Linked DNA regions of Oryzias latipes. The protein of the gene in region 2 interacts with the protein of the main gene of each other region in a pairwise test. Links are inferred from orthologs where the notes say so. Each region holds a gene or a part of one and is shown on either strand. Other genes may lie near its edges.

Region 1 (4,705 bases), on a different chromosome or scaffold from region 2:
TGTTGTAGATGAATCAGACACAGAAAATTATGTATGTAAAGGTGGACAGTTGGACAAAAGCTGTACCTGCTAGAGCCTCAGTTGTGTCAGTGAACTTCTCAAAATGCTTCAGTTTGACTCTAAAAACAAAAAGAATTCAATTTATACTTTCAGTAATATAAAATAAACTTACAATGTGATAACCCCAAATGTATATACACTTACACTTTATTAGCTTTCTCAGGAGTTTCAAACTCCTTATAAAGACTGTCGACTTGCTGCAGCTTGGATTCATCGAGAACCTACAAAAATAAAAGAAATATGGAGGGATAAAATTAATTTAACAAGTTTCAATCGATACCAACCAAGTTGTGGTGAGTGCCCACGTGGTTACAGGCCTGCAGAATGCTAACCAACTTAAAAATCAAACTTGAACAAAAGCTCACTTCAGCACATTTGATTTCAATTGAATAAGCTTAACCTGTACGGCACTTTTGTTTCCAGCTCGAAAAAAATACAACAGGAACAGACTACGGTCATATTTTTTTATGCTAACCTAAGCTAACTCGTTAGCCAACAAGAACAAATAACATTTGAGTTTTTAATATTAAATAAAAGGAATAAAGGGGATGCGAATTACCTTGAAAATAGCATATCCTGCGGCGGTTTCAAATAAAACTAACATTTTGAAGCTTTACTATGTTTCTTTCCTTATGGCGTGCTCGCCCCAACGAGCGGACACGTTTTTTACTGAGCACGCGCTGCCGTCCGAAAACCCCACGCGGCACAGACAGGAAGCTGTGGGGTTGCCAGCTCTGGAAAGAAAAAAACTCAAATTCAAACATAATTCGTTTAGTTCAACCAGTACCTGGAATTTATCCAAATGTATATCGTGTAAAATTAAAAATACATATATAATATGCTATTCGATTTTTTGAGGTGTTGAAAACTATCTTAATTGCAAATAAACAGCTTAAGTTGTTTTATTTTAGGAAGCAAAAAATAAATGAATAAATAAATAAGAGACAGAGAAAAAAAACCGATGAAATACTTATAGAATTATTCCTTATATTGATGACATTTTTTACTTGTTATAGAAAAGCATACTGACAGAGTACATATCTTAGAATGTTTCCTTTAAACGTTTTCAATGAGCGTTCGTTCACCCCAAACATGGCAACAAGACGGTTCTTCAGAAAAACTTGCATAAATTCGGACACTGAATTTAAAAGACATAAAACACAGATCCGTACAATAAAAACACATCTGATAGAATTTAGGATACGTACAGGCATTAAATATGCATCATTAGGATACATTTAGCTTACAAATGAGTGTTTCCTGTTTTAGCGGAAGTGACGCAAAACACGCACATGTGGGGACTGCGTGGAAGTTGGGGCTTCAACAAACTTGTTTTTGAAAAGTAATTAGTTAAACAACATGAGTGAAGAGGGCCGTTATCCCCCTCCGGACTTCAGCTGCCCCCCAGCGAGCTCCAGCCAGCATCTTCAACAGCCTCCCCGCTTCAGCGGCTTCCAACCGGGCATGTGGAACTGGACCGAGTCGCCATGCGAGCCCAGCCGTGGCAGTCCGGCATGGCAGCACCAAGAGCCAGCACGGGGCTTTGGCTTTCAACCAGGCTGGGGAAACCATGGACATACGCATCCTTACAGTGAGTTGAACTCACAGAAATTGTTTTCAAGTTCAAAACAATTTAGGCATCAAACTTACCCGGTTCTGGGGTTGTTTTAGGTCCAAACGTTGGATACGAATGGTATCAAGGTGGAAGAAACAACAGTGGACCTCACTACCAGCCCTGGAAAAAGGTAATGGGAGAAAAAAGCTAACTACATAAATGTGGAGCTTGGTTAAAATCTATGAAAACTTGTGATGGGACTTGAATAGCCTGAGTTTGTGAGTCCATTTTGTTATGCCACTGACGTCACTTCATTTAACAGTTACAGACTTGGTAGTATTTCACACTCACATGTGAGAAAAACAATCACAAATGCCTCATAATTTGCTTCACACAACCTTTTGATTGACTCCCACAAGTCTGCCCCCTGCAGGTAAAAGTATTCTACGGAGCCCGTGTCCTGACATTTAAAAGTTAAACTATATCTCGTTCCCACAGATTAATATCTTGTTTGCACAAAATACTATTCTGTTCCCGCAAGATAATATTGTGTTCCCTCGAAATACTATTTCGTTCCCTCGAAATGATTAACTCGTGGGGACGAAATAATTAATTTGTGCGAACGAAATAATTATTCACGTCATAAGTCATTCATATACATGGATATGCTCTCCGTTCGGCCGCAAAAGCCACTTTCAGCAGTAACTTCCGTGTCTCTGTGACCCACATTTGTTCAAGGAAGGAAAAAGAAAAACAAGAATGATCAATATTTTTGTCTCAATGATTATAAGAAAATTATCATAAGATTTATGAAACCTAGACTTGCTGCTTTGCCATACAATTCACCTGACAGAGCTCCGCTGCTGAGCTCTTTTGCTTGTCATGCCGGCATTCAGGCAGCTGGCTGGCCGGTAGACAGACAGCCAGCTGACATTGTAGTTTAGGGTCGAATAGGAATAATAATATTCAGGACTTGTCTTTTATTAACATACTCTTTAGCAGTCACTTTACATTCAAAGGCTAGTAGGCTACATGGCCGATCATTTATCCTGTTATTTACGTCATAGATTTACAGCAAATACCTTCACATTTCTGTCTGTGTGTGTCTCATTACATTGCATTGAAGACACTGAGGATGTTTAGAGATCAGATTTATTTATTTTAAAAAGCACAAAAGCAGCTGTAATCACGTCATGTCTGGGTTCATTCACATCCTGGTTCGCTCTCCGTCCATCTTGCTGCAAAAGCCGCTTTCTGCCGCTACTTCCGTGTCTCTGTGAGCATTCAATAGGAATAAAAATAAAAGCAAGAATGATCGATCTATTATTGTCTCGATGAAAATCAGAAGAATATCATAAGATTAGGCTGGCTGCTTAGCCTACCGGACTTAGCTTTTAGCTCTTAGCATTACAAACATGGCGGTGAGCGACATCCCGACAGGCATCACGCATACCCAAGATGCATTTCGAACAGCCACTTCAGTTGTAACACTTCAGTTACAGGGACACGGTGATTGGTCAAGGTGCACCTTGCGATATTGCTCTCATCCGGATGTGATGCTAGAAGCTACGAGCTAAGTAGTATGGCTTTTGTGCTTTTTAAAATGAATACATCTGATCTCTAAACATCCTCCGTGTCTTCAATGCAATGTAATGAGACACACACAGACAGAAGAAATGTGAAGGTATCTGCTGTAAATCTATGACGTAAAAAACAGGATAAATGATCGGCCAGATAGTTACCATGTAGCCTAATAGCCTTCGAATGTAAAGCGACTGCTAAAGAGCATGTTAATAAAAGACAAGTGCAGAATATTATTATACCTATATTCTACCCTAGACTACAATATCAGCTAGCTGTCTGTCTACCGGCCAGCTAGCTGCCCGAATGCCGGCATGACAAGCAAAAGAGCTCCGCAGCGGAGCTATGTCCAGTGAATCGTATGGCAAAGCAGCAAGTCTAGGTATCATAAATCTTATGATAATTTTCTTATATTCAATGAGACAATAATAAATTGATCATTATTGTTTTTCTTTTTTCTTTTTTGAACAAATGTGAGTCACAGAGACACAGAAGTTACAGCAGAAAGCAGCTTTTGCGGCCGAACGGAGAGCATATCCGTGTTTATGAATGACTTATGACGTGAATAATTATCGCGTTCGCACAAATTAATTATTTCATTCCCACGAGTTAATCATTTCGAGGGAACGCAATATTATCGTGTTGGGAACGGAATAGTATTTAGTGCGAACAAGATATTTATTTGTGGGAACGAGATATATTTTAATTTTTTAATGTCAGGACACGGGCTCCGTAGAATACTTTTACACTCAGGGAAAGTTTGCGAAGTTTACCACGAAAATGTCAATTAATAATATAAGGAGCACCTAATTATCTTAAAAGGAAAAGTACCATACCGAAACCATTTTTAAATGTATGACAGCAAATGCATTACTCAGATAAGACTTTATTTATCCCACAGTGGGGAAATTCTTTTGTCTGGATGGTTCACTGGAATAACAAAGTGCAAAAATGTTTAATTGGACTAATCCAAGCATTTATGAAAAATACACTTCATGTCTAATTCCAATGGTCGGTGCTGCAGTGGCGTATCTCTGTGTAAAGGAGTTTGGGTGTCAAACTGAGCTTAAGAGGGCAAGAGGTGCATAGTAGCTTAGTGCACAAAACAGTTGCATCGTCGGATATAGTAAACAGCATAAAAATAAAAACATTTTGAACAGATGCAGCTCATAAACCATAGCAAATGTCCCAAAAGTTGTGATCATTCTAAAGTTCAAGGCCTTAAAAGGATGAGGTTTGATCGATGTCTCGATTTCAAAATTTTTAAAAGGAGTTAGGTTTCGAAAGCAGGGTAGTTGAATTCCATTGCCTTCATTTTAAAGTAACGAAATAGGAACGTATGCACCTCCCCCCACACACACACACCCTCGAGCAATATTGGAGCTATTCAGCCGTACAGTTTTGAGCCAGATGACAGCCTGAGCGAAAAAAAATGATGAAGACGTAGATGGAAGTAGTCGTCTACAAGTAGATGCATCAGAATGGAGCGGGGCAGGGTACTTAGGCCCA
Region 2 (4,667 bases):
TTATTTAGGCATTAAGTTGTTGACTGACAGTTCCTCTGTTGTCACTTATCCCCTCATGGTTTAGTTCTGCCACAGTCCTGGTTCTGTTTCATGTTCTGTTGGTTTATTTATAAAACCTCTTATGTTGCAGCCAGGCCATCTCATTACTTCTGTGTTGGAATTGTCCACAACCAGCGTTCCTGACGGCAAACAAGGCACTCGTGTCGCCAGAAGAGGTCTTAACAACAGATTGACTGGATCTCGGTCGACTCTGAACGTACACCAGAGAAAAAGCTGAACAATCGATGACTTTAGAAGACATAGTGTGTGGTTACATTACCCAACGGTTTTATCCACTTTATTTGAAACCAGAGATTTACATCTGTGGTTTTGGAATAATAGTAACAAGTGGGATATCAAAGTCAATGCTTATTACTGTTGTAAAAAAAATGGACCATTTTACAGTTTAATGAAATGGGAGCCGATATGCTTTTGTTACTTCCCACCTAGGAGTAATTTGGTGAACAAACCTGGTTTTTCCTTTTAGCTGAGATTTAACCCAGAAGTTAATAGATTGTGTGAAATCAAGAACCCAGGATTGCTTTAAAAGTCTTCTTTGACAGCTCTGATTTACTGCCGTTATCACCACAAGTTCAAATCCCAACAGTTACCTTCAAATATCCTTAATAAGTTTCAGAAAAAATGCACCAGGAAGGATGGAAGCATGTGTCCTTTAAACCACTTCCTGTTCTTTCTCAGTGTCTTTTTCTGTCTCCTTACATTGCTCGTGTCAGGTAAGGGAAAAGTGGTTTTAATGTCATTGAAAGCAAGTAAAATGAAACCAAACTTAAGTAGTTTCTCCATCGTTCCGACAAGTTTCAAGTTAAAATTATAATTACTAAATATTTGTGTTGCTGTCATTTTAAATCACAAAACGCATAAATTTGTCCTCCGTGATCATGCCAACAACGGTCTGTACTTCCATGTTTTGAAAAGGACACGATCTACACGTCATTACCAAATCGATCGTTGCTATGATTAAGCAGGAAAAAGTTCAGCCGGTTGAACTGTCAGCACGCGATCAACGGGCACCAAATTTGTACGTAGAGTCCGGGACCGGACGTGAAAACCTGCGTAGCAACATGCGATCACAACGTTCCAGACGCGTAAGCCCGAAATTCTGGTCTACGTCTTTACGAAGACTTTTCATTGAAAGTGGCCGCTTCGACACGAGTCGAACGCAGTCGTTGTGTGAGCACCTTGCGATGTCAAAATTCAAGACTTTTTATTGTACCATTTACAAATTCTGTAAAATGATAATGTTTAAAGTTGGCTGATGGTATTTTTGGGGGGAAATTCTCCACATTTCCTGGTCGTGCACTTAATTTTTGTTATTCTGCTTGTTTTTTGTTTTTTTTTTGTGCTTCTGTGACGAAATAAAAAACCATGAAAGAAAACAAGAAAGAACTAAATAAAAGACAATTTGGAGAGCAATTTCACCACAGATTTAGGGGGATACAAGGACATTTTGGGTCATTGGACATGCAGTGACAAAACCTGATTTAATAAAAACAAAATAATAACAATAATAATAATAATCAAACGGGGACAAACCAAAATGACCAGCTGCTTTTTCTCTGAGTCGTATGTGACGCTGAACGCTCCGACGGCCTTCTTGAAGTCTTTATGCGCCGACTCCTTAGAGCACCTGATGACAAACACAAGTTTAGGGCTCATAACGGGTCCATTTTTAATCTTCCACTGTAAGAGAAGCTGCTCACATCTGACGAAGATCTTCAGGAACGTCCAGTCTGATCTTGAAGAAGGTGTTTTTGGTGGCTGGTTTGTTGGGGTTGACCGGCCGTAACCTCTCCAGCGTTACGATCTCGTTCAAGGTGGCGTCACAGGCGGCGTATTCTATCACATAGAACTACAGAAGAAGAGATCAGACACATTTTACAGATAGGAGCAATGTTCTGGGGTTCAAAGAGGATTTTTAACTTACTTGATTCCCACAATGCACTGCAAAAACTGAATCTTAAAGTATAAAGACCCTTGTTTTATTAAATAAATGGTTGTATTGTTCTGGTAAACTACTCTTATCAAGAAAGTTTTTCAATGACAAAATCATCTTAGTTTGAGGAAACATGATGAGATTTTTTTTTCTATATTTTTCTCACCCCTTTGGCAGATTTATTTGCTAATTTAAAGAAAAATGTTCAAATTTGAAGAATCGTTGACTAATTTTTAAATAGCCTAATTTTGCAATGAGGATCCGAAGGACAATTTAAAGAGAGCTTACCTCCCCCTTTACCATGCGAACCTTCGCCAGCCACCATCCGCACGGCTCTTTGTCGTTTGCTCGAGAGTAAACCTGAAACATACACACACTATGCCGTTGAATGCAAAAGTGGGCCACTCTGACACATGCAAAGAAAATGGCATCCACACACTGATCCAAAAGTCTAAAAGGAAATAAACTCAACTACAGTTTCCTTTTATATAATTCATTTAACAGACTAATCATAATACACTTTAACTTTAAGTCCATAGAAATCCAGATTTTATAGAAAAGAAATGTTATGGGATGCACCATAACATAAATAACAATCCGCTCTGGATTCTGTTCTCAAGTCTGTTTCTGACGCCCAAAAAGTGACCAAAAGCCAAAAAGCTGCTGTGGAATTCACTGATGGAAGCTGAGGTCAAAATATACAACTTTTTTTTTTTTTTTAAACTGAGCTAAAGTGATATTTGAAGTAAGAATAACTTGAATTCATTTGAAACTGAACTTGTTTTATCTCGTCTTGACGTTGTGTTACAGCTTTTTCAAACAACAACTGCACCATTTCTGTTTTAGTGTTTAAAATATCATAAAAAAATCAAATGTTTGCTTTACTTTTTTGGTGACTTCTGATGGATTTCTGGATCTCACCTCGACCTCATCACTTTCGTTGATCTCCTTTCCAGAACCTGCAGGAGGAGGAAAACGGACGTCCTGGAAGGGGATCTGACGTTCTGGCTGCCAACTTGGAACAAAAGCAGGAGAGCGTTTTTAAAGACTCGTAAGCTTCTTATCGTGTCCTTTTCCAAAAGCTGATGAGACTCACTTGTTTTCAAACGCCACAGTGACTGATCCCTCGTGAACATCCTTCACAAAGGCCTACAGGAGGTAGAGGAGGAGAAAGAATCAAACACTTGACTCCTTAAAAAACAAAACTTTCCTTTAGGGAAGTTTAAGCTTTGAGTTGAAAGGAAAACTCCACTGGAGAAAAAAATTCTCTTTTCCTGATGATTTTAACCAGACTTTTTGAGATGCAGGGCATCGTCGTCTGCTTCCATGAGGATGAAGATTAGACCCAGAGGCTTCGGCATGACGAGTTCATCATTGAACGGGAGTGAAAACTGACTTAAACAAAACCTAAAAGGCGGTTTAAGTGCTCACTCCACCCATCTAATCATTTCTACCACAAGGGCATGAAAAAAGGGTTAAACGAGGACGCGTTTTTATCTGTATAGGCAAGTCAAAGCTCGTACTTTGAAAATGATCATTCTGATTTATAGACGCCTTCAGGGCTGACAGCATTGAATACCGAGCAACACGAGCATTTCAAATAACTGCAACTGAATCCACTTTAACAAATAGGCACAGAAAAGACCCACTCCAATGGAAACTGTTTTTAACACGATGTTGATGCTTTTTTCTAATGGAGGACATTGAAAATGGATTTCTGAGTGTTTCTTTATCCAAATCACTGAATCAGGAGCAGACGAAAAAAGCTGTTTGAAAAAGATTGTATTTGTGACGTAGAAAATCCGCTGGGCGGGTCACAAGCTCCATTCTGATGCATCCACTTCCAGACAAATAGATCCGTGTACGTCTGTGTTTAGCTCATCTGAGCTGGAATCTGGATCAGAACTGTACGACTGGACAGCTCCAATACTGCTCGCCATTTTTGTCGCACCGCTAATGTTAAGTTGGGGGTGTGAGGCCCTGTTAGCAAGGAGGAAAGCGCGTAAACAGAGACCTCTCATCAACAGAGAAGGAAGGGGGGCGAGGTTGCTCCCACTCACAAATCGGAGGTGAATTTCTAATGAACTTCTGCCACTTCGCAGAAACTATGTTCTGATTTTGGCTAAAAACTGCATAGTCATAATTAAAAGAGCACTGGGAACCAATTCACAATTTCATGTTTTTTTTTTACCCAGAATTCCCTCTTCCCTCATCACCTGTTGATCAAGAACACATAACTGGGGAAAAGTTCAGACGAGCCTCCAAAGTTTCAATAAAGTGAATACTTTTAAAACGTTTTTATGATATAAAAACGTTCCATAAATTTGATCATTTTTAGGATTATTAAACTTTAAAATGTCTGTTAATGAATTTGAAGATCCCGTCGGGTTGAGCAGCTGCCTGCTGATCAGTCAGCTGAGAGTTCAAATCCCAGGTGGGACAGCCACCGTGTGCTCCATACAACACTTTAGACCCTCAGACATAAGATATCTAAGTGTCTGCAATAAAAATAAACACCTTTGACCATCTTTATGGCTCACATACAGTTTATCACCACGGGAAAAAAAAATTCTTTACCACAAAGACAGCTATGATAAACCTTAAGTACCGAAGAAATCTGTACAAGAAAAAGATGATTCCATGTATAAAACATAAATATGTACATATACATTAG

The links. The genes of interacting proteins can lie anywhere in the genome.
Region 1: the proteins of fmr1 (region 2) and nufip1 interact in a two-hybrid assay, tested with the Homo sapiens proteins (2 studies listed by BioGRID). The link is inferred for Oryzias latipes from reciprocal best matches to the Homo sapiens genes FMR1 and NUFIP1.

What each region holds. Positions count from the first base shown.
Region 1 is NC_019860.2:15,376,228-15,380,932, forward strand, and holds the start of nufip1 (nuclear fragile X mental retardation-interacting protein 1), read left to right. Parts: upstream 1-1,322; 5' UTR 1,323-1,419; coding exon 1,420-1,651; intron 1,652-1,731; coding exon 1,732-1,805; intron 1,806-4,705. Other genes in the region: nop58 (nucleolar protein 58), read right to left, coding at 67-119, 205-281, 620-664. UniProt on the Homo sapiens protein: Binds RNA.
Region 2 is NC_019868.2:25,371,439-25,376,105, reverse strand, and holds part of fmr1 (synaptic functional regulator FMR1), read right to left. Parts: intron 3,143-4,667; coding exon 3,090-3,142; intron 3,009-3,089; coding exon 2,879-3,008; intron 2,354-2,878; coding exon 2,282-2,353; intron 1,910-2,281; coding exon 1,761-1,909; intron 1,688-1,760; coding exon 1,594-1,687; intron 1-1,593.